Arabidopsis thaliana: one gene and its partners. The protein of the gene in region 2 interacts with the protein of the main gene of each other region in a pairwise test. Each region holds a gene or a part of one and is shown on either strand. Other genes may lie near its edges.

The links.
Region 1: the proteins of SUT2 (region 2) and AT4G04760 interact in a protein complementation assay, tested with the Arabidopsis thaliana proteins (one large-scale study listed by BioGRID).
Region 3: the proteins of SUT2 (region 2) and CNBT1 interact in a protein complementation assay, tested with the Arabidopsis thaliana proteins (one large-scale study listed by BioGRID).
Region 4: the proteins of SUT2 (region 2) and ABCG16 interact in a protein complementation assay, tested with the Arabidopsis thaliana proteins (one large-scale study listed by BioGRID).

The regions. Positions count from the first base shown.
Region 1 is NC_003075.7:2,422,576-2,428,302, forward strand, and holds AT4G04760 (Major facilitator superfamily protein), read left to right. Parts: upstream 1-1,588; coding exon 1,589-1,732; intron 1,733-1,816; coding exon 1,817-1,879; intron 1,880-1,976; coding exon 1,977-2,066; intron 2,067-2,184; coding exon 2,185-2,244; intron 2,245-2,369; coding exon 2,370-2,435; intron 2,436-2,638; coding exon 2,639-2,704; intron 2,705-2,781; coding exon 2,782-2,857; intron 2,858-2,956; coding exon 2,957-3,021; intron 3,022-3,106; coding exon 3,107-3,199; intron 3,200-3,475; coding exon 3,476-3,565; intron 3,566-3,662; coding exon 3,663-3,747; intron 3,748-3,845; coding exon 3,846-3,889; intron 3,890-3,984; coding exon 3,985-4,047; intron 4,048-4,144; coding exon 4,145-4,204; coding exon of another isoform or gene 4,205-4,209; intron 4,210-4,297; coding exon 4,298-4,351; intron 4,352-4,530; coding exon 4,531-4,590; intron 4,591-4,832; coding exon 4,833-4,947; intron 4,948-5,051; coding exon 5,052-5,194; downstream 5,195-5,727. Other genes in the region: AT4G04750 (Major facilitator superfamily protein), read left to right, coding at 1-49; ABCI8 (ATP binding cassette protein 1), read right to left, coding at 5,423-5,641. UniProt on the Arabidopsis thaliana protein: Sugar transporter.
Region 2 is NC_003071.7:827,775-834,331, reverse strand, and holds SUT2 (sucrose transporter 2), read left to right. Parts: upstream 1-1,712; 5' UTR 1,713-2,035; coding exon 2,036-2,302; intron 2,303-2,810; coding exon 2,811-2,876; intron 2,877-3,023; coding exon 3,024-3,122; intron 3,123-3,223; coding exon 3,224-3,288; intron 3,289-3,381; coding exon 3,382-3,466; intron 3,467-3,558; coding exon 3,559-3,592; intron 3,593-3,701; coding exon 3,702-3,801; intron 3,802-3,906; coding exon 3,907-3,982; intron 3,983-4,265; coding exon 4,266-4,604; intron 4,605-4,732; coding exon 4,733-4,876; intron 4,877-4,973; coding exon 4,974-5,207; intron 5,208-5,298; coding exon 5,299-5,362; intron 5,363-5,458; coding exon 5,459-5,502; intron 5,503-5,618; coding exon 5,619-5,786; 3' UTR 5,787-6,053; downstream 6,054-6,557. UniProt on the Arabidopsis thaliana protein: Responsible for the transport of sucrose into the cell, with the concomitant uptake of protons (symport system). Can also transport maltose at a lesser rate. May also transport biotin.
Region 3 is NC_003074.8:6,047,116-6,053,201, forward strand, and holds CNBT1 (cyclic nucleotide-binding transporter 1), read left to right. Parts: upstream 1-1,698; 5' UTR 1,699-1,958; coding exon 1,959-2,453; intron 2,454-2,546; coding exon 2,547-2,738; intron 2,739-2,833; coding exon 2,834-2,932; intron 2,933-3,018; coding exon 3,019-3,156; intron 3,157-3,236; coding exon 3,237-3,485; intron 3,486-3,589; coding exon 3,590-3,832; intron 3,833-3,960; coding exon 3,961-4,106; intron 4,107-4,206; coding exon 4,207-4,284; intron 4,285-4,411; coding exon 4,412-4,541; intron 4,542-4,694; coding exon 4,695-4,941; coding exon of another isoform or gene 4,942-4,979; exon of another isoform or gene 4,980-5,056; coding exon 5,057-5,334; 3' UTR 5,335-5,560; downstream 5,561-6,086. Other genes in the region: CNGC19 (cyclic nucleotide gated channel 19), read left to right, coding at 1-145, 219-296, 376-505, 616-856, 947-1,224. UniProt on the Arabidopsis thaliana protein: Probable cyclic nucleotide-gated ion channel.
Region 4 is NC_003074.8:20,415,670-20,420,915, reverse strand, and holds ABCG16 (ABC-2 type transporter family protein), read left to right. Parts: upstream 1-2,005; 5' UTR 2,006-2,363; coding exon 2,364-4,574; 3' UTR 4,575-4,733; downstream 4,734-5,246. Other genes in the region: ABCG17 (ABC-2 type transporter family protein), read left to right, coding at 1-564; AT3G55080 (SET domain-containing protein), read left to right, coding at 5,086-5,202.

The DNA of each region.
Region 1 (5,727 bases), on a different chromosome or scaffold from region 2:
TCAATCTGCTTTTACTGATTCTACTTCTGAAGATTCTACAATTTTCTAAGAGATAAAATAAAATTACCTTCAAACTTTAATTTCAGATCTCTTTATATTTCATGGGGTTTGTCTTTCTTTTTTCCATCGTATTTTTACGATTGGGTCATTGGCCTATAAATATTTATTAAATTGGTCCCTGAAAGGGATCTACAGTTCAACTGAAAAGCTTGGTTAAGGCATATATTATGATATATATCATGTTTATATGTTTTCGACGCAACAACAATATACAACCTGATAACCATAAAATTACAAAATCTTAATAGCATCTCTAATGATTGTCTCTATTTTTTCATTTAAATATAGAGAAAAAAGTTAAAAAAAAATTATTTTTACACTAATAGTTTTTGAAAAATAGAGATCTCTATTTGTTACAAAATTTTTTTTAGAAAAAGTAGAGATATCTATTTTTGAGATAAAAATAAATATGAATTACAGTGAAATAAAAACAAAATTAAAATATAAAAATAAAAATAGAGATGAGTTGGAGATACTCTAATTATAAAAAAAAAACAAATAGAATTGATGGAAAATGAGATCTTATGACGTGAAATGCTTGTTTACACATGTCTACAGCTTTTACGTAAGCGCATTTACTTGCATTTAAGATTGAAAAATATTTGAGAACCTTATATTCACCTCCTTTATTTTAGCCAATTAAAATCTGAAACCTAATAATAATAAAAAGAATTTTATTTAATTATAAAATCTAAGTTGCCACTAAAATGAAATTATGTATCGGTTTGGATTTATTAGAAAAAGTCAAGGTTTAAATTTTATGATTAAACGAGGTTAAATATCGGTTTGAGTTTGGAAAGTGCGATTAGAGTTTAGATTTGATGATTAAACGGGTTAAATATTAGTTTAAATTTATAAACAGATTTAGATTTTATAATTAAACGAGGTTAAATGTCAGTTTGGGTTTAGAAAATACGATTAGGATTTAGTTTTTTACGATTAAATAAGTTTTTAAATGGCGATTTAGGTTTACAAAGGAGAATTAGGGTTTAGATTTTGTAATTAAACGAAATTATATATTAGCTTGGATTTATAATTATAGGTTTAATTTATTATGTAATTTAAATAAGATTTAACATTGCATGTTTTTATTGGTTAATACAAAAGGAGCTGAATAAATGGGTGAACTCAAGTTTAATTCTTTAAGATTTCACATGTTTTAAATGAGTGAAAATCCAGACCAACAAATAAAAATATAGATGATTCGATTTTCAGAAGTTGGTAACAAACTTGCACGATCTAAGTGAATCCAAAACAATAGATAAAATATGGTTTTTAATAAAAACAATTAAAATAAAATATAATTATAGTTATAATTTAATTACCTATGTTAATTTTTTATATGTTTTCTTAGAACTAATATTATATGTCCACGAGAAAGAAACAAAAGCAAACACAATTTGTGTTTAGTTTTCAGTTCCGCTATTTTTGCAGTTTTTGCTCCACGAGACCAACAATCTTCCAAACTCGAAAAGGTTTGAGCATTTTCCTGAAGCAAATTTGATTCATAATCACAGATTTCTGAAAAATGGCAGAAGAAGGTTTATTATTACCAGCTTCTTCTACTTCTTCTTCTTCTTCACTTTTGTCTGAAATATCAAATGCATGCACGAGACCTTTTGTTCTTGCTTTCATTGTCGGTTCTTGCGGCGCCTTTGCCTTTGGATGCATTGTGAGTTTCCTAATGCGTTCTTGCATGTTTAATTTTTTATTAAACCTAATTAAAATGTTACTATTTGATTCTTTATGTTCACAGATTGGATATTCGGCTCCGACACAAACAAGTATCATGAAAGACTTGAATCTCTCCATAGCTGATGCAAGTTCAATCACTTTTTTATTTTTTTGTTGCTCTTACGGTTTATTCCGGTTTATTTCTGGTTCGATATGATCTTGGTTTTCTTTTCTTTGCTCAGTATTCACTATTTGGATCGATATTGACGGTGGGGTTAATCCTTGGAGCATTAATCTGTGGGAAGTTAACAGATTTAGTTGGTCGTGTCAAAGTAAGTTTCTTCTACTTAAGAATGATTAGTGTTTAAAACTTTCTTATAACGAATTGGATATGATTATACAATTATGGTTATTAATCATCTTTATGTGATTATTCTCTTTCTAACTAAGACTATATGGATCACAAACATCCTCTTTGTAATCGGATGGTTCGCTATTGCATTTGCCAAGGTTTGTTTCTTTCTGAGTTCTTTCTATAATGGTTTAGATTGTACTGTTTTTAAGTCGATATATTATTATAGTTCCTCAACTGTATCTTATTACTATTTTTGTTCTTTGACTTTTTGGTTACAAAGGGTGTTTGGCTGCTTGATCTCGGAAGGTTACTACAAGGGATCTCGATCGGAATTAGCGTATATTTGGTATGAGTGAATACTAAAACTAGAAGGGTTTGGTATTTTTTCTTATTTATGGTGTGACTTTTTGATTTAGAGGTAGCTAGTTGGTAATGTAGTTATGTAGCATTGAAACTTATTTGATATCTTGTAACTTGTAAGTTTTATGTTCAGATATATTTAGTTCTCTTTTGTAACAAATCTTATGATCTGATAATTATTAATTACAGGGACCAGTTTACATCACCGAGATAGCACCAAGAAACTTGCGAGGAGCTGCTTCTTCCTTCGCGCAGGTAAAACTCAAGAGAACCAAAAGCTTGGAAACTATTATAAGCATTTTCCTTCACTACAAGTTTTGAATGTTTTACAGTTATTCGCCGGTGTTGGTATATCGGTCTTTTATGCACTTGGAACCATCGTTGCCTGGCGCAATTTAGCCATTTTGGGTATGTTAAAAAAGACCGATTCTTATCGATTTGCAAAAATCGAAAACTTCTCATTTCTCGAAGTACAAGAAAATGTACTAATGGTTTTTCTTTGAACAGGATGTATACCTTCTCTAATGGTTCTGCCTCTTCTTTTCTTCATCCCCGAATCTCCTAGATGGCTAGTAAGCATTTGGTTATAACAAAAAACTTTTGGTCGAATATCTTAAAATCGTAAATCAAATAAACCAAGATGAAATTTGTTGGTAGGCTAAAGTAGGAAGAGAAATGGAAGTTGAAGCAGTTTTGTTAAGCCTGCGAGGAGAAAAATCTGATGTATCAGATGAAGCAGCAGAGATATTAGTAAGGACCTTCTAATCTACTGGGTTTCGGTTTGGCATCGAGTCCAGTATAATAAACCAAATATAAACCATGAAATTTGAATTTATGGGGACCAAAGATTCGAACCTCCAATTGAGGGTGAAACTGGACTTTAACTTCTATTTTTTGTGGACTAGGATTGCGATCCGAATTCTGTATAGTTATGGTGTTATATAAAACTTATTAGGGGAGACAGGTCGTTCATCCTTTTTGATTTTTTTTATAACATAAATTTCTAAACAATTTGATGATTATCAGGAATATACAGAACATGTTAAACAACAACAAGACATCGATGACCGCGGTTTCTTCAAGCTATTTCAGCGAAAATATGCATTCTCACTTACTGTAAGTAACTATTCAAAAAGGTTAAAAAAACTTCAAAATCTAGCATTATTTTGTTTGCATTTGCTTGATTTATATATTTCATTTGGTTTATATACAGATTGGAGTTGTTCTTATAGCTTTGCCTCAGCTTGGAGGTCTTAACGGTTATTCTTTTTACACTGACTCCATTTTCATCTCTACCGGTATATAATCCTTCTTCTTCTTGTTTCTCTTTATTTGATCTAACATAATGATATGATTACTTCATCAAATGGTCCTTAAATACTATCCGATGATCCAGGTGTATCGAGTGACTTTGGATTCATATCTACATCAGTTGTTCAGGTTATAGTTATACTAATACAATACCATAGAGCATGGTTAGACAAAACTCTTTCCGTATAATATTCTATACACTTTTTGACCAATCATTTTTGTAGATGTTTGGAGGCATTTTAGGTACTGTGCTTGTTGATGTATCTGGAAGACGTACACTCCTATTGGTAAAACAAAATTTAAAACTCGTATCCGAAATCGATATGTTAATTTTGTTAGGTTTTCGAACAAAGTTTAGGAATATATTTTGAGTGATCATTGTAGGTTTCTCAAGCTGGAATGTTCTTGGGTTGTCTTACCACAGCCATTTCATTCTTCTTGAAGGCATGGTTACTATTCCATCTACTCTACTAAACCGGAAATTAATTTTGGTTTGTTATACCGGACCTTAAAATTACCGGTTATTTCGTTCTACAGGAGAATCATTGCTGGGAAACAGGAACTCCTGTCTTGGCTCTCTTTAGTGTTATGGTAATTAATAAGGGTTTTAGGATTTAGAATTTAAAATGTTTTTTAGATATAAAGTTTTAGACTATTTAAATTTGAAAATCTAAAATAATTTTCTGATTTTAATTTTCTAATTTAGTGTTGAATTTTCATAATTTTCCCGTAACAACTGTATTTTGATTTTTGATTATTTATTTTATTAGGTGTATTTTGGATCATACGGTTCTGGTATGGGATCAATACCATGGATCATAGCATCAGAGGTAAATAAATATTTAAAAAAAGTTTAAAAATATATCGCAGACATTTAAATTATGTTACACTCATTATAACAATTATGTATCGCATACATCTAGATTTTTAAATCATTAGTTCAATAACACTGAATTTCATTAGAGTTTTTAAAATCCGTGATTGAATAACATCGGATTTGTAAATTTTACACAAATAACTTAAAATACTAGATTGAATACATCCCTCTTAATGTTTTTATTTTCTTTTCAAGATTTATCCAGTAGATGTTAAGGGAGCAGCGGGAACAATGTGTAACTTGGTCAGCTCTATAAGCGCATGGCTTGTTGCTTATTCCTTCAGTTACTTGCTTCAATGGAGCTCCACAGGTAAAAATCTTTAATACAATTGAACTAAAGTTGACAAAAAGTTGATTTGGTTACAATTTCTGAATTTTGAAAAGAGAGTTGTTAACTAAAAGTCTTTGTTGCAGGAACATTTCTGATGTTTGCCACAGTGGCTGGCCTTGGATTTGTGTTCATAGCCAAGCTTGTTCCAGAGACCAAAGGCAAATCTCTAGAAGAGATTCAATCTCTTTTCACTGATTCTCCTCCTCAAGATTCTACAATTTTCTAAACTTCTCCCACAACTGTATAAGATAGAAGTATGTAAACAAAAAAAGTTTATTGCAATATAGTTTTTACGTGATTCACAAATATTAACAAACACCTTTCACAAGATTCACATGAAACTACCAAAACATTACAAAATAATACAAAGTTTTACTCAGAAGAAAAGCTTTATTGAGAAGAAGCACAAAGACCACCCCTTTTTTTTTGCTGTTCTGTAATTATGAGTTTTGTTTTAACCCACTGATCCTTCAAGCTTGATGCTCATAAGCTGGTTAACTTCAGCTCCAAACTCATCAGGTAACTTGTTGAAAACATCTCTGCAGAAACCAGAGATCATTGCCGCTAATGCTCTCTCGTGATCGATTCCTCTCTGCTGGAAATAGAATAGCTGATCTTCTCCAATCTTAGAGGTACTCGCTTCGTGCTCTACTTTCGCCGATGGATTCTTTACCTGTTATTGTTCCAGACCAACCACAAAACAAAAGTGGAAATCAATCACAAAAGAGCAAAAAACTTTACAGCTTTCTCATAGCTTAT
Region 2 (6,557 bases):
CTAAAAAAACTTATTACTGTTTTTCAATCAACTTATTAACCTTGATCTTTTTTATAACAAAATAAAAATAAAAATTGGCACATGATCAAATCATCAATCTCAAATAAGATAAAACCAAAGGTGTAATAAGGTTCATTTTTTTGTGGAGAAACCGAGTCAATGCTACCAAATTGCCTATATAGGCTTGAATTTTATGTAAATGCTTTTTTGAATGGAATAATCCGATTTTTTATTTTATTTTTTCTTATGTAAAATTATAACATGGTATAGATAAAAAATTTGTTTTGTAATAAGTGATATTTGGTCTAACGGCGCGTATGTATAGTTCTTTTACAAAAGTGAGTAATAGTGGTTTTCTGGTTCAAATACTATTGAGAATGGTATCAGTTTTGATGGACAACAAGTGTATGAGACTCGGCTATAACTTCTCAATTAACCATTAACCATTAAAGAATACAAAATTTGGATTTTCGACTATACTTTGGTTCGGATACATCATACATGCATGCACACCATAACAACTAAACTCAAAAGGATTTGTTTTTGAACTTTTGATGATAAGAAAAAGAAAAAAAAGATGGGACATAAGAGTCATGTACACGTGGATAAGGAAAGGAGAAGAGAGGGACAAGGGAAGAGATGGAGAAAGAGAGACGTAAGTATTAATTCAATTGTGTGCCCTATTAGCTTTCATTTTCCACAAGCAAGAATAATATTAATAATTATGTATCATCTTTGCATTTTTGTACCAATACATGATACATTTGTTAGGCACACGTCTTTTTCCTTTTTCCTCCTTTTTATTTCTAACTTTCTTCCTTTTATTCGTTTAATCCGGCTCTATCACGTTAACACACATATATGTTATATCATCTTTTTACAAACATGTTTACATTAGTTATTAGAAAATACATATACTTGTAATAGTGACATTGGTAAGAAGAACTCTATCACCTTCACAATCACACACATATATGTTATATAATCTTTTTACAAACATGTTTACATTAGTTATTAGAAAATACATATACTTGTAAATAGTGACATTGGTAAGAAGAAAAAAACACTATTAAATAGTGAAAAAATGTTTATAACTCTCTTAATTAACATTACTTATTATTGCTAGCACCTAAAATCTCCCACAAAATATTTGTTGTAAAACACAAATTTACAAAATGATTTTGTTTTTAAATTAGTAACACATGTTCATATATACGTTAATAAGAACATACCCTATATGATTTTATATAAAAAAATTTCTTTGAGACGTCTTATCCTTTTTTCTTTAATAATATGCAATTGTGAGAGTTTGGATTTGAATGGTAGCATTAGAAGCAAACTTGAACCAAACATATTTCATGAAGTCAAACTTGAACCAATGTAATCACTAATCACAGTGTTCGCAGTGTAAGGCATCAGAAAATAGAAGAAGGGACATAGCTATGAATCATATAATCTTGACACATGTTTTATAGGTTTTAGGTGTGTATGCTAACAAAAAATGAGACAGCTTTCTTCTAATAGACTTAATATTTGGGCTAAATGTACCACAGTTGTGAATTTCTTACAAAAATGGGCCGAGCTACAAAAAACTACAGGCCCACTCTCAACTCTTATCAAACGACACCGTTTTACTTTTTTAAAAGCACACACTTTTTGTTTGGTGTCGGTGACGGTGAGTTTCGTCCGCTCTTCCTTTAAATTGAAGCAACGGTTTTGATCCGATCAAATCCAACGGTGCTGATTACACAAAGCCCGAGACGAAAACGTTGACTATTAAGTTAGGTTTTAATCTCATCCGTTAATCTACAAATCAACGGTTCCCTGTAAAACGAATCTTCCTTCCTTCTTCACTTCCGCGTCTTCTCTCTCAATCACCTCAAAAAAATCGATTTCATCAAAATATTCACCCGCCCGAATTTGACTCTCCGATCATCGTCTCCGAATCTAGATCGACGAGATCAAAACCCTAGAAATCTAAATCGGAATGAGAAATTGATTTTGATACGAATTAGGGATCTGTGTGTTGAGGACGATGAGTGACTCGGTGTCGATCTCGGTTCCGTATAGGAATTTGAGGAAGGAAATTGAACTTGAGACGGTCACCAAGCATCGTCAAAACGAATCTGGTTCTTCGTCGTTCTCTGAATCTGCTTCTCCTTCGAATCATTCTGATTCGGCTGATGGTGAATCTGTGTCGAAGAATTGTAGTTTAGTGACGTTGGTTCTTAGTTGTACAGTTGCCGCTGGAGTTCAATTTGGTTGGGCATTGCAACTTTCTCTTCTTACTCCTTATATTCAGGTACTTACTATTACTCTTGTCATTGTTACCATTTCTATCACTTGTGGCTTTCTCTATAGCAATTTAGATTCGAGGGTTTTGTTCTTGTGTAGCTTTGTACGAGAAAGTCGAGTACTTTGTAGGTGAATCAATGAATTCTAATACTTAGGTTAGGTAGTTGTTGTCACCAACATAGCCATGAGATATTTTCGTATGGAACTCTATAGCATTGGCTTATCGAAGAGTATATGACATTGGAATTTAGCTAGATTGTTTATGTTCATTGGATTACATAAGCATTTGTAAAAATATAAAAGACCTTAGCCTTTTTCGGAACTATTGTATAATCAGAGATTAGACTGTGTTTAGAATAGTATTGTACTGGTCATATATGTATCAGGTGGGTAGTTATGGTGGTAGATAGAACTATTGTTAAATATCTGTTTGCTGGAAGTATTTTGATTTTCTTGTTGCTGAAGAACCCTTTTGAGTTTTATCTAACAGTGTTGCATTTGGTTGGTTGATGCAGACCCTTGGAATATCGCATGCTTTTTCTTCGTTTATTTGGCTGTGCGGCCCAATTACAGGCCTTGTGGTAGGTTAAAAGTTTCTTTAAGAATTTTAGCAGTTTTACTATCTTGCACGTAATGATCTCACGAGAGTTCAAGTTTTGATTTATATTGGATCAGAAACTATTTTTCTGCCCCATTTTGTTCATACTTATTTGTTTGTTGGGTTTTAGGTCCAGCCTTTTGTTGGCATTTGGAGTGATAAATGTACTTCAAAGTATGGAAGAAGACGACCATTTATTCTAGTTGGATCATTCATGATCTCAATAGCAGTAAGTGCCAATAGAAGATATGATTTCTGTTTTGATTTTCTTTTAGGAGATAGCTGGCTACATTGTGTTTTATATAAGCTAAACAAAAGCTTGCAATTTAGGTGATAATAATCGGATTTTCTGCAGACATTGGGTATCTGTTAGGAGATTCAAAGGAACATTGCAGGTAACTCTCCTGCTCCCCTGCCAATGGCATGTTTTTTATGGAATGTATCAAAATTAAAGTAACTGACGACTTGATGTGTATCTTGAAATGCAGTACTTTCAAAGGCACACGAACCAGGGCAGCTGTTGTCTTTATCATTGGGTTTTGGTTGTTGGATCTAGCAAACAATACAGTACAGGTTCAGATCTGCCTCTGCAATGTACTTGAGTGAATGGTACTAGTCATTACCTCTGTATCCAGGAATGATGTTTTCGGCTTTTTTATTTTCAGGGACCTGCTCGTGCTCTTCTAGCTGATCTATCAGGTAATAATGGAATATAACCATACACTTAACAGAACAGAATTTCTATTCAAACTCTAGAATCAGATTGAATATGCTGTGCTTCTAATGAGATGTCTCTTGCTGTCCCTAGGTCCTGATCAGCGGAATACTGCAAATGCTGTGTTCTGCTTGTGGATGGCTATTGGGAACATCCTTGGGTTTTCTGCCGGTGCTAGCGGAAAATGGCAAGAGTAATCTTTGAGATCCTTATTCTCAAAATCTTGTATTCTTTTTCCTCATTTGCAATTTTGCATTTTCCGCCAGCTGTTAAATGATCAGGCAATTTTACTGCGCAGATGGTTCCCTTTTTTAACTAGTAGAGCATGTTGTGCTGCATGTGGAAATCTCAAAGCAGCGTTTCTTCTTGCAGTGGTAAGCAGTATGTTTAATTTTCTGACACATGCATCTTACTAAGCTTTCTAAATTGCAATGGAATGGGCTGGTCTTTACGAAACACTCTCACGTTTGTACATTGTGACTTGTGATTCATATATGTCGCAAATCAATGCGTTCTGTTTGTATGTCTATATTATTTTTGAGGTGATTTTGAAAGTGAAATTATATTATTGCACCCAGTGGCTTTTGTTCTTGTTTCATAGTCTAAAATCTGAATATATTGTTCTATATGTTTTAAGAGTTTAAATCATTTTTTCAGGTCTTTCTCACTATATGTACTCTTGTCACAATCTATTTTGCTAAAGAGATTCCTTTTACAAGCAACAAGCCCACCCGCATACAAGATTCTGCACCTTTGTTGGATGATCTCCAGTCCAAAGGCCTTGAGCATTCAAAATTAAATAATGGTACTGCCAATGGAATCAAGTATGAGAGAGTGGAACGTGATACGGATGAACAGTTTGGCAATTCAGAGAATGAGCATCAAGATGAGACCTACGTTGATGGCCCTGGATCTGTTTTAGTGAATTTGCTAACTAGTTTAAGGCATTTGCCACCGGCTATGCACTCAGTTCTTATCGTCATGGCTCTTACATGGGTGAGTGCCAAAGAAAAATTATGATCAGTTATTACATATTTCACACTGTTTCTTTTCTTAAACTCTTTAATGATCTTTAAAATTATTTGCTTCTGTTATATTTTTGATTGTGGTCTTGTTCTTTGCAGTTATCCTGGTTCCCCTTCTTTCTGTTCGATACAGATTGGATGGGAAGAGAAGTTTACCATGGGGATCCAACAGGAGATAGTTTGCATATGGAACTCTATGATCAAGGTGTACGTGAAGGTGCACTTGGTTTGCTACTAAACTCTGTAAGAATCGTTATAATAACCTGTTTTTTAACTGCACTGCTCTTCAAAATTCAATTACTCGCCCGTTATTGAATATTCTTCTTCCCTGTTTCCGTAGGTTGTTCTTGGGATCAGCTCATTTCTCATTGAACCAATGTGTCAGCGGATGGGTGCTCGGGTTGTATGGGCTTTGAGCAATTTTACTGTATTTGCCTGCATGGCGGGAACAGCTGTAATCAGCTTGATGTCTCTCAGTGATGACAAAAATGGAATTGAATACATAATGCGTGGAAACGAAACAACAAGAACCGCAGCCGTAATCGTTTTTGCACTCCTTGGTTTTCCCCTAGCTGTATGTGCTTTCTTTCAACCGTAATTCTCTTTATTCTTTTCGTGTTGCAACATTTCTCTAAAATATGTGATAAAACCATTCTTTAATGCAGATCACATACAGTGTCCCTTTCTCTGTCACAGCAGAAGTCACTGCTGATTCCGGTGGCGGTCAAGGTCTGTGAAAAGATTCATATCTTCACTATATTCATAGTTTTTGTACTTAAATCTTAGATTTCAGTAATCCCTAATGGTTTCATTTCCTCACTCCAGGTTTGGCTATAGGAGTGTTGAATCTCGCAATCGTTATTCCCCAGGCAATCTCTCAAATCTAATTACACTGATAAATTTCATTCTCTTGTATAATGCCACTCACTTCGAGTGTAGTCTTGACCCGTAAATAGTGTCTGAATATGGTTTTGGCTCTAAACAGATGATAGTATCACTTGGAGCGGGTCCATGGGATCAATTGTTTGGAGGAGGAAACTTACCGGCGTTTGTTTTGGCGTCTGTTGCTGCTTTCGCTGCTGGAGTTATTGCATTGCAAAGGCTTCCCACGCTATCGAGTTCTTTCAAGTCCACCGGTTTCCACATCGGCTAAAATCTTTATACCACAGACATAAAATTCACAGTTAGATCTACCCGATTCTTTTTGACCACGTTCTCCTCTCGGCGTATATGTAAGTAGGTTTTGTACATCTAGTTTTCTTATATGTTATACACAGCAATGTGACTCTAAATTTACAGTACCTCTCTTCTCACGTAGAATATATCTTCGTTATTTTGAATCACTTTATATTTGTGTGTTCCTTTCCTCACAAATAGAAACTTGAAGCAACATATTCCAAACTCAATAGTCCAATCTAATAACACAATACTGTTGGTTCTTTAACCTATGATGTGTACGTTTTCCCAACATTACCATACTAATATAACAAAGCATTTCAATAAGAACACAAATTCAAACCTATTTTCGCCTATAAACTATGTACTAAAATCATAACCAAACTATATCTCCAATAGAAACAATGTGTCCATAAATAATAAATGCTCATATATCGTGGGTTGTTGATGACATAGTCTTTGTCCACAAGTTCCTTATTTAGTTGATATAAGCATTTTCAAAACAAAGAAACAAAATTCAACTTAGTGTAACAATGTCAAAACCAAACTCTTATCTTCAATAATGAGACAAAAGAAACCGAAGTTAAGTCTATAATCAATTTCTACATAGACAATGTGGCCAAAAATAATAAATGAACATATATCATGGGTTGTTGAGACACCCAATTTAATAAAATAAAAACATTGAATGTCTTATTTTCTTCTTCTTTAAAAACCCTTTGTACATTTACTCTTCAATTCATCCTCA
Region 3 (6,086 bases), on a different chromosome or scaffold from region 2:
AAATAAGCACACTTGCTGGAAACTTATCCCCAAGTTACTCAGTGGGTGAGGTTTTCTTTACAATGGGTATCATTGGACTAGGGCTTTTGCTTTTTGCGCGGCTTATCGGTAACATGCACAACTTCCTTCAATCACTTGATCGAAGGTAAATCACATTTCATCAACAATGTTCTGAAAAGGGATGGTGAATTTCTTGGCTAATGCATGTTCTGTTTTAGGAGGATGGAAATGATGCTGAGAAAGCGTGATGTGGAGCAGTGGATGAGCCATAGACGTTTGCCAGAAGATATAAGAAAGTCTGTGCACTGTGGCATTTGATTTTCTCAGGCTGTGTAATGTGATATTCATAACTAATCAACTGTTCAACTTTTTCAGGAGGGTGAGAGAGGTTGAGCGGTACACTTGGGCTGCGACAAGAGGAGTTAACGAAGAATTGCTATTTGAGAACATGCCTGATGACCTTCAAAGAGATATAAGAAGACACCTCTTCAAATTTCTCAAGAAGGTAATAAGCAACAGCCTCATGACAGCATTAGTCAGTATTCATTTTGTGTACTCAGACTCCACAGTGTTGCAAAAAGCTAGTTCTGAATCCAAGTGTTAATGAGTTTGCAGGTGAGAATATTTTCGTTGATGGATGAATCAGTTTTAGATTCAATCAGAGAGAGGCTGAAACAGAGGACTTACATAAGGAGTAGCACGGTGTTGCATCACAGAGGTCTAGTAGAGAAAATGGTATTCATAGTGAGAGGTGAGATGGAGAGCATTGGAGAAGACGGTTCTGTTCTTCCTTTATCAGAAGGAGACGTTTGTGGTGAAGAACTTCTCACTTGGTGCCTCTCTTCTATAAACCCCGGTACTAATAACATTTGAGTGTTCATAACTCTTAATGTTTTTTGGTTAGAAACTTGGAACTTTGGAGCTGAATACGTTTTGAAACTTGCAGATGGGACGAGGATAAAGATGCCACCAAAGGGATTGGTTAGCAACAGAAATGTTAGGTGTGTGACAAACGTGGAGGCGTTTTCGCTGAGTGTAGCAGATCTTGAAGATGTAACAAGCTTGTTTTCAAGATTCTTAAGAAGCCATCGAGTGCAAGGAGCTATAAGGTACGAGTCTCCTTATTGGAGGTTACGAGCAGCTATGCAGATCCAAGTGGCTTGGAGATACCGAAAGAGACAACTCCAGAGATTAAACACTGCTCACTCCAATTCCAACCGTTAAATTTGATGATGATGTTTGGTTTGGTAGATTAGTAATTTTATTTTGAAGTATAAAGCTTAGTGATTCACTATAAAAGATGAATCGATGATTCATTCGTTGTAATCAATTCACTCATTAGTGTTTCTTAAGTATCTTTTTGCTGTTTTTCCAATCATACGGTATAATTTTACTTCAGGTCACTCGGCTTGAGTAACTTGGGCTCATAATTTCGGCCCATTCTAATTGATCTTAAATTAATAATTAATCAAGCCTGGATAATGAATGATTTTTGCCTTTTCGGTACTTCTTTACTGTAAGAAGTTAATTAAGACAAAGAAACGGAAACAGCCATGTAGTTAATGACATTTTGCCTCCAATAATTAGGGCCAATTAATTAGTTACAGTTGGTAATCAAATAAAGGAATTTTCGAATTCGTGAATATTCAAAAGGAAATAAATGTTAAAAACACAGAGGAGAGAGAAGCCTCACGGACACGAAATAATAAACAATGTAATAAAAGTCAGTGTTTGACTTTTCCAGACATGAGTTTTATTTACAATAATACACTTCCTTGACCTGGGCTACGAAGAAGAAGACCCCTGACTTGGTCATCATCTCCTTTCTTATTTCTTCTTCTTCTTATCAAAATTACTAAAACTCTCTGCTTCAACTTCCTTCTCCGCCTCAAATTTTCCCTTTATGCCTAGATTCTAGCCTTCTAGGGTCTTCTTGAAACCGTGATTTTGGTCAAGAAATGGCTTCCCACAACGAAAACGATGATATTCCCATGCTTCCGATTTCAGACCCATCATCTCGTACTAGAGCCAGAGCTTTCACTTCCAGGAGTCGTAGCGTTTCTCTCTCAAACCCTACTTCCTCCATTGAAGGATTTGACACTTCCACTGTGGTTTTAGGCTACACGGGTCCTCTTCGAACTCAGAGACGTCCTCCTTTAGTTCAAATGAGTGGTCCTCTTACCTCTACTCGCAAGCATGAACCTCTCTTTCTTCCTCATCCTTCTTCTGATTCCGTTGGTGTCTCTTCTCAGCCTGAGAGGTATCCTTCTTTTGCTGCTCTTGAACATAAAAACTCCTCAGAGGATGAGTTCGTTTTGAAACACGCAAATCTCTTGAGGTCTGGACAATTGGGAATGTGTAATGATCCTTACTGTACTACTTGCCCTTCTTACTACAACCGTAAGGCTGCTCAAATCCCTACTTCTAGAGTTTCTGCCCTTTTTGATTCCACGGTAAAGTTTTGATTTTTGTTACTTTACATTCACAAATATAGCTTCAGGATCAAGTAAATGTCGTTGAAACAGAGTCTTTTGTTTTCTTGCTAGTTCCATAACGCTCTGTATGATGATGCTAAAGGTTGGGCAAGGAGATTTGCTTCCTCTGTTAATAGATACTTACCTGGAATCATGAATCCTCATGCCAAAGAGGTTCAAACCTGGACTAAATTCTTCGCCCTTTCATGCTTGTTAGCTATTTTTATAGATCCCCTCTTCTTCTTCCTCATAAAAGTCCAAGAGGTATGTTTTTCCTTCAGAGATATCTTTTGCTTTTCCAAGTGTTTTTATCTTGCCTTTACACCACCTTTTTGACCATCTTTATTTTCTCACTGTAGCAAAACAAATGTATTATGATTGATTGGCCGATGACTAAAGCATTTGTAGCTGTAAGAAGTGTAACAGATGTTATATTCACTATGAACATTCTACTTCAGGTGCTTTTCTTTTGCTTACATTTTTCCATCTCTTTATAAACAAAATATGTTGGCTTTAGTGCTCACGTTTGCCATATTGGTTGCAGTTCCGATTGGCCTATGTAGCTCGTGAGTCTACGGTAGTTGGAGCTGGCCAGTTAGTTAGTCATCCCAAAAAAATTGCCCTTCATTACCTCAAAGGAAAGTTTTTCCTTGACTTGTTCATAGTGATGCCACTTCCACAGGTATTGTTACGTTAGAGCTCCTACTGGTTTTAAGTAATGGTAATCAGAAGATGTTCATTTATGTTTTCTTTTGTTTACAGATATTGATACTATGGATAATACCAGCACATTTGGGTGCATCCGGGGCAAACTATGCGAAAAACCTTCTACGAGCTGCAGTTCTTTTCCAATACATTCCAAAGTTATATAGACTTCTACCGTTTCTTGCTGGACAAACACCTACCGGATTCATATTTGAGTCAGCTTGGGCTAATTTTGTTATTAATCTTCTCACTTTCATGCTTGCTGGACATGTTGTTGGTTCTTGCTGGTATCTATTTGGTCTGCAGGTATGACAAACTCTCAAAATGTCTTTCATTTTTATCTTGTCCTGATCAGCAGAAGATGCATAAAGTGATTTATATTGTTTCCCGTTTTCTGTTGGTTCTTTCAGAGAGTTAATCAGTGCCTTCGAAATGCTTGCGGTAATTTTGGGCGTGAATGTCAAGATCTTATAGATTGTGGTAATGGAAATAGCAGTGTATTAGTACGAGCTACCTGGAAAGATAATGCGAGTGCCAATGCTTGTTTCCAAGAAGATGGTTTTCCTTATGGAATCTATTTAAAAGCAGTCAATCTTACCAATCATTCTAATCTCTTCACAAGATACAGTTACTCTCTCTTCTGGGGCTTCCAGGTAACTGTTTTTTTTTTTCTCTCTTTCAGTTTTTTAGTAGGAAACTAAGAACAACTACTCAACTACTTTGCATTGATTGGCATACTTGGAACTCTTCATTAAGATCATTAATTTTATAATTCTCATAGCAAATCAGCACTCTTGCTGGCAACCAAGTCCCAAGCTACTTTCTAGGGGAGGTCTTCTTTACTATGGGTATCATTGGACTAGGGCTTTTACTTTTTGCGCTTCTTATTGGTAATATGCAAAATTTCCTTCAAGCTCTTGGTAAAAGGTAAACAATTCCATCATTGTACTAAAATAGATATTTCAAGACATAATGGTTGGTTCTATAAACACTAACTACTCAGGTGATTGTGTTTTGTCCATATTAGGAATTTGGAAATGACGCTGAGACGGCGTGATGTGGAGCAATGGATGAGCCATAGACGGTTGCCAGATGGTATAAGAAGGTATGTGGACTTTGCCTATAAAACTTTGTTTTATCCTTTGAATATTCTTTTTCTTAAAGAGTTACATTGGTCTCAGTTTCAGTAGTTTCACTATTAAACTAACTGAATAATGGTTCGACATTATCAGGAGGGTGCGAGAGGCTGAGCGGTTTAACTGGGCTGCTACTAGAGGCGTTAACGAAGAATTGCTTTTTGAGAATATGCCTGATGATCTTCAAAGAGATATAAGACGACACCTCTTCAAATTTCTCAAGAAGGTAAACATATGTGAAACTTCTGTATGCATAGATCCCAATTCCATATAGTGTTGCAAAGAGCTAGTTCTAGAAGCTGTAACTGCAAGTAATAGTTAGAGACCACAGATTAAACCATTGCTGAGAAATAGTATTGAAATTTGAATGGGTTTGCAGGTGAGAATATTTTCGTTGATGGATGAACCAATCTTAGATGCAATCCGTGAGAGGCTGAAACAGAGGACATACATAGGGAGTAGCACAGTGTTGCACCGTGGAGGACTAGTTGAGAAAATGGTATTCATAGTGAGAGGTGAGATGGAGAGCATTGGAGAAGATGGTTCTGTTCTTCCATTATATGAAGGCGATGTTTGTGGTGAAGAACTCCTCACTTGGTGCCTCGAACGCTCTTCTGTAAACCCCGGTACCATCCCTTTTGACTCTATCTCTATGTGTTCATAAATCCCAAAAAGTTTGGTTCCTTAGATGACACTTCGTTAAGAAAAAGCTTGGAACTGAGTATGTTCTGAAACCTTCAGATGGGACGAGGATAAGGATGCCATCAAAGGGATTGCTTAGTAGCAGAAATGTAAGGTGTGTGACAAATGTGGAGGCGTTTTCGCTGAGTGTAGCCGATCTGGAAGACGTAACGAGCTTGTTTTCGAGATTCTTGAGGAGTCATAGAGTCCAAGGAGCCATAAGGTACGACTCTCCATATTGGAGGCTACGAGCGGCTAGGCAGATTCAAGTGGCGTGGAGATACCGTAGGAGACGGCTTCATAGATTATGCACTCCTCAGTCTAGTTATAGCCTTTAGTTTGTATTCTTCATTCTTGATGATACGCTTAAAACAAAAATAGGGTTCCAAAGCTCAAGACTGCTCATAGGCTCATAGCAATGCTCAAAAGTCAAAACCTCACATTCTCCAACACGAGGCAACAACAAAATTTAGATCGAAGTTAAAATCCAAGTATTCGGTGTGCTCGGTAAATTTTAATGATAAATGAAAAAAACATAACAATATATTATATTATAATTCATTATAAACAAAATTATAAGATAATCTATATTATTAATTAGGAAGCATTGTATGAACTACAACATTGTAAGGGTAGTTTAAAACTAACTAAATGAATTTTTGCATGGGTAATTTAGTAAATTAACAACTACTACAACTAAACAAATATCTTGGATTTTGTTTTTAAAAAAAACGAATTAAATCACTAAATTAATAACTACCCAATATTTTCGGAAATCATTTAAAAACGTTTTCATAACATATTAGGTTATTTTAATTCAAATTGTATATATGTAAACTTATTTCTTTTGGTAATATGTTATTAGATAATTTGGAAACTTCAATCTAATTTAATAACAAATTATCATTTACTTTAGATTTTATACAATTTCCTTAACAAAACTATGTTAATTGTTTCTGATTATTACAAATAAAAATAATTTTAAATTATGATTTAGCATATTCAAAAGAGAATTTTTGGATTTTAGATTTGTAATTATCTAAAAAATAGTTTCAGTATACATTAAAATATTTAACATTTTAATTAGAAT
Region 4 (5,246 bases), on a different chromosome or scaffold from region 2:
TTCGTTGGTCTAAACGGTGGTCTGGCAGGTTTTATCTACTATCTTATGATCATCTTCGCGTCCTTCTGGTCAGGATGCTCGTTTGTTACATTTGTCTCCGGTGTGATTCCAAACGTGATGATGAGTTACATGGTCACCTTTGGCTATCTCTCATACTGCCTCCTCTTCAGCGGATTCTACGTCAACCGTGATCGAATCCATCTTTATTGGATATGGATTCATTACATTTCTCTGCTAAAGTATCCCTACGAAGCTGTTCTGCACAACGAATTCGATGATCCCTCCCGTTGTTTCGTGAGAGGAAACCAAGTGTTTGATAATACAATAATGGAAGGAGTATCTGAAACGACAAAGGCTAAGCTTCTGGAGACAATGAGCGGTTACTTGGGGATGGAGTTAACGGAATCAACGTGTTTGACGACGGGCTCTGATTTGCTTAAGCAGCATGGAATTGAGCAGCTGGATAAATGGGGTTGCTTGTGGGTAACGTTAGCTTGGGGATTCTTCTTTAGGATCTTGTTTTATTTTTCGTTGTTGCTTGGAAGCAAGAATAAGAGGGCGTGAACGCCATAATGTAAATTTTTCCGAAACAGAAATTTTATTGTGAAAGCAAAATTGTCTTTTTGAATTTGAGATATTGATGATATATGTTGTATAATTATTATTTTTTTCTTTCATAGCTATCATATATTGTCTAAAGAAAGAATCGTACATCTAACATTTTACATGATGTTAGGTTCACAATTTTATAAAGGACTAAGATTTTAGTTTAATTCACAATTGGTAATGTTTTTAACTTAACAATATGAACTACATCAATAGTTTAAAGTTCAAACTAATATAAAGATACCACAAGCTACCAGTGAAGTAATTTAGTAGTTTTAATGTGCGTGTGAGCTATATGCCATCTTTCGTGGTCGGTGTAAACATAACGTATTTGACAAAATTCAAATTGCATCACTTTTTAAAAACAAAAGTATATACAACTAAACAGTTGGTCGAAAATAGAATTCAAAGTAGCCAACTTTCTTATAAGCTTTATTAGATGGTATTATAAATCTTTGACCCTTTTCTTATGGCGGTAAGGAAGACTACAGTAGGTAGAAGTTAGTCACCTAAACTTCAAAATGTCAACCAAAAAGATGTAACAGTGAAGTCAAAGTTTAGGATTGGAAATCCAAGAAGCTAAGCCAGTACGTCAATTTTGCTTTCATGTTACCATTGTGTCCATCACTAGAAGTTTGACCAAGTACTACTTAAGAGGAAGTTGCCTAACCTTTTGATCTGTTTCTTCTTTCCCTGGATGGATCAAAGACATCACTATTTTTACTTTCTTAACAAATAGTATTTGAAATGTGACACCATCTTTATGATTCTCGTGTAATTTTCGCATGCATGTTTAATTTTAGCAACAAACTTGACGATTTTTATTATATTTCTCTTAAACCACCACTCCACCCTTTACAAAACAAAAAGAATGTTTTATCAGCTTCTGTATACTGTGAATAAAACAGAGGAAACAAAGACCAAACACAATATTTGAGTTTGGTAAAGAATGTTCCACCGTTACCAACTAAATAATCAAGAAATAGAAAAAATGAACTTGGAGATTGTGTGTAGTCTTTCATAGCAAAAACAGGAGTTTATATTCCCAAACTAAATACAAATCTAGCTACTTTATCAAATATAACTTTTATATTATATTTGGTAGAATTAGTTGGGGTTCCGGAATTATTGCAATTTGCAACTTTTAGGCAGTTAGCAGCATAAGCAATCGTCTTCGGTCGCGAAAACAAAAGAAAATGTGAATAGTTTATCTAGGTACACATTTGCTTGCGATACAAACAATCACTATATCGCTACCAACATTCGAAGAATCTTTTAAAAACATTAATTAATTGACCAAACACTATGTGAAACGCAAGAAATATCTCATCTCAATCCTATATACTATCTATACCTCGGTTAGATCAACACCCTTCACCTAATTCTCCATTCTAATCGCCACGTGTCAGCCATTTCTACGTATTTTAGTATTATCACCTTGGAAAATCTAGATTTATTGGTCATCCCATTACCTCTCCCTAATTGAATACGAGAAATCCAAAACGCATTTTCCATCCAAACGCTAAGAATATTATTGTTAACAACACAAACCTAACAGATTTCTCATGATGATGCAACTCATTCAACACATAGAACCTTCGTGTTCACACGCTTCCACACGTTACTTCATATATATAAGGCCTATACACAGATACTAGCAAAACAGAGAACAAAGACTAACATTTTGATCATGCAAAGAGTGTTTTGATTTTCAAGTGTAAGCACATCATTTCTCACTTTACCATCTTTTGTTCTAAATGTCTCGCATACTAGTAGAAGATGATAATGCAACACCGTTTCATTCCATGGAGATTATTAGCTCATCTTTGACTTTAGGCCAACTTCTCAAGAACGTTAGCGACGTTCGTAAGGTTGAAGTTGGTGACGAAACTCCTGTTCATGAATTCTTTGACAGGGATGGTTCTTCACTTGACGGAGATAATGATCATCTTATGCGTCCTGTTCCTTTCGTTCTATCTTTCAACAACCTTACTTACAACGTCTCTGTTCGCCGGAAACTTGACTTTCACGACCTGGTTCCATGGAGGAGGACATCTTTCTCCAAGACCAAGACTCTTCTAGACAATATCTCCGGTGAGACTCGTGACGGAGAGATTCTTGCCGTTCTTGGAGCTAGCGGGTCAGGTAAATCCACTTTGATCGACGCTTTAGCGAATCGGATCGCTAAAGGAAGCTTGAAGGGCACGGTAACGCTTAACGGAGAAGCTCTTCAATCTCGGATGCTGAAAGTTATCTCAGCTTATGTAATGCAAGACGATCTTCTCTTCCCGATGCTTACTGTGGAAGAAACCTTAATGTTTGCAGCTGAGTTTCGATTACCAAGAAGCTTACCTAAATCCAAGAAGAAGCTTCGAGTTCAAGCCCTAATCGACCAGTTAGGGATAAGAAACGCTGCTAAAACAATCATTGGAGACGAAGGACACCGTGGAATCTCCGGTGGAGAAAGAAGGCGAGTTTCGATCGGAATCGATATCATCCACGACCCGATTGTTCTCTTCCTCGACGAACCTACTTCTGGTTTAGATTCCACAAGTGCTTTCATGGTGGTTAAAGTATTGAAGAGAATCGCAGAGAGTGGCAGTATCATTATAATGTCAATACATCAGCCAAGTCACAGAGTTCTCAGTTTACTTGATCGTCTTATCTTCTTGTCACGTGGACACACCGTCTTTAGTGGTTCTCCGGCGAGTCTACCGAGCTTTTTCGCCGGGTTCGGTAATCCGATACCGGAAAACGAGAATCAAACGGAGTTTGCACTCGATCTAATCAGAGAACTCGAAGGATCAGCTGGAGGAACAAGAGGATTAGTTGAATTCAACAAGAAATGGCAAGAGATGAAGAAACAGAGCAATCCTCAAACCCTAACTCCGCCGGCTTCTCCAAACCCAAATTTAACCTTGAAAGAAGCGATTTCCGCCAGCATAAGCAGAGGAAAACTAGTCTCCGGTGGCGGCGGTGGTTCCTCCGTCATAAACCACGGTGGCGGAACCTTAGCCGTCCCTGCATTCGCGAATCCGTTCTGGATCGAAATCAAAACTCTCACCAGACGCTCAATCCTCAACTCCCGACGACAACCGGAGCTACTCGGAATGCGATTAGCCACCGTAATCGTCACCGGATTCATCTTAGCCACCGTATTCTGGCGATTGGATAATTCACCAAAAGGAGTTCAAGAGCGGTTAGGGTTCTTCGCATTCGCAATGTCAACAATGTTCTACACTTGCGCCGATGCTCTTCCCGTGTTCCTCCAGGAACGTTACATCTTCATGAGAGAAACAGCTTACAACGCTTACCGGAGATCCTCCTACGTTCTCTCTCACGCCATTGTTACCTTCCCTTCGCTCATCTTCCTCTCTTTAGCTTTCGCAGTGACGACGTTTTGGGCTGTTGGGCTTGAAGGAGGCCTAATGGGCTTTTTATTCTACTGCTTAATCATCTTAGCCTCTTTCTGGTCCGGAAGCTCCTTCGTGACTTTCTTATCCGGCGTCGTTCCACATGTGATGTTAGGCTACACGATCGTTGTTGCTATTTTAGCTTACTTCTTGCTTTTCAGTGGCTTCTTCATCAACAGAGATCGAATCCCTCAGTATTGGATTTGGTTTCATTATCTTTCTCTGGTTAAGTATCCATACGAGGCGGTTCTTCAGAACGAGTTCTCGGATCCTACAGAATGTTTTGTGAGAGGTGTTCAGCTTTTCGACAACTCGCCTTTGGGAGAATTGACGTATGGGATGAAGCTGAGGCTTTTGGATTCTGTGAGCCGGTCGATAGGTATGAGGATATCGAGCTCTACGTGTTTAACGACGGGTGCTGATGTTCTGAAGCAGCAAGGAGTGACACAGCTTAGTAAATGGAACTGCTTGCTTATCACGGTAGGTTTCGGATTCCTATTTAGGATTTTGTTTTACTTGTGTTTGTTGCTTGGGAGCAAAAACAAGAGGAGGTGAAACTGAAACTACTGATGATACCTAAAACCAAAAACATATATTGTAATTCTTTTTCATTACTTGTAATTCGTAGATTGATTGTGTATTTGAATTGTATTCTTTTTAACATTTGTATTACTTTTGCCATCAATAAAAAAAATATCATTCTTTAGGAAATTGGAAATACAAAAAGCACCTATGAATCGCTTTTACTCAGAAAATTAATGCAACATTTCAAATAGAGGCATTGAGATTGTGGAAGAAAAATGAGGAGACACAGACACTGTTGCTAGAGGCAAGTAACTCTCAAAGCCATTTCACTTTGTAAGGTATCAAAAAGTCAAAATTGGAAGGCTATCTACAAAATCAATTAAAAACAAACCGATTTATCTGAAATTTAAAACCGAAACAAACCGGACCGAATCAGCATCAGAATATCGTCTGGTCCTGGCCGCTCTGCTCTAGCCGCAGTCGAAACACGAGTCCATAATACGAGCGGTGGTTGCTCACGCGCCATCCAGTTTGGCTGGAGATGCTATTCTGCATTTCGACAGTGAAGCTTTTCGGGTTTCAACAAAGGCGCAATGTTAGCTCTTTAGCCAAGCGTTTCAGTCTCGCCGGGAAACTAACGTTAGAGCTCCAAACTCAGGTTTGATTTGTGAAAGATTGAGACTTTCGTGAAATTTGTGAAAT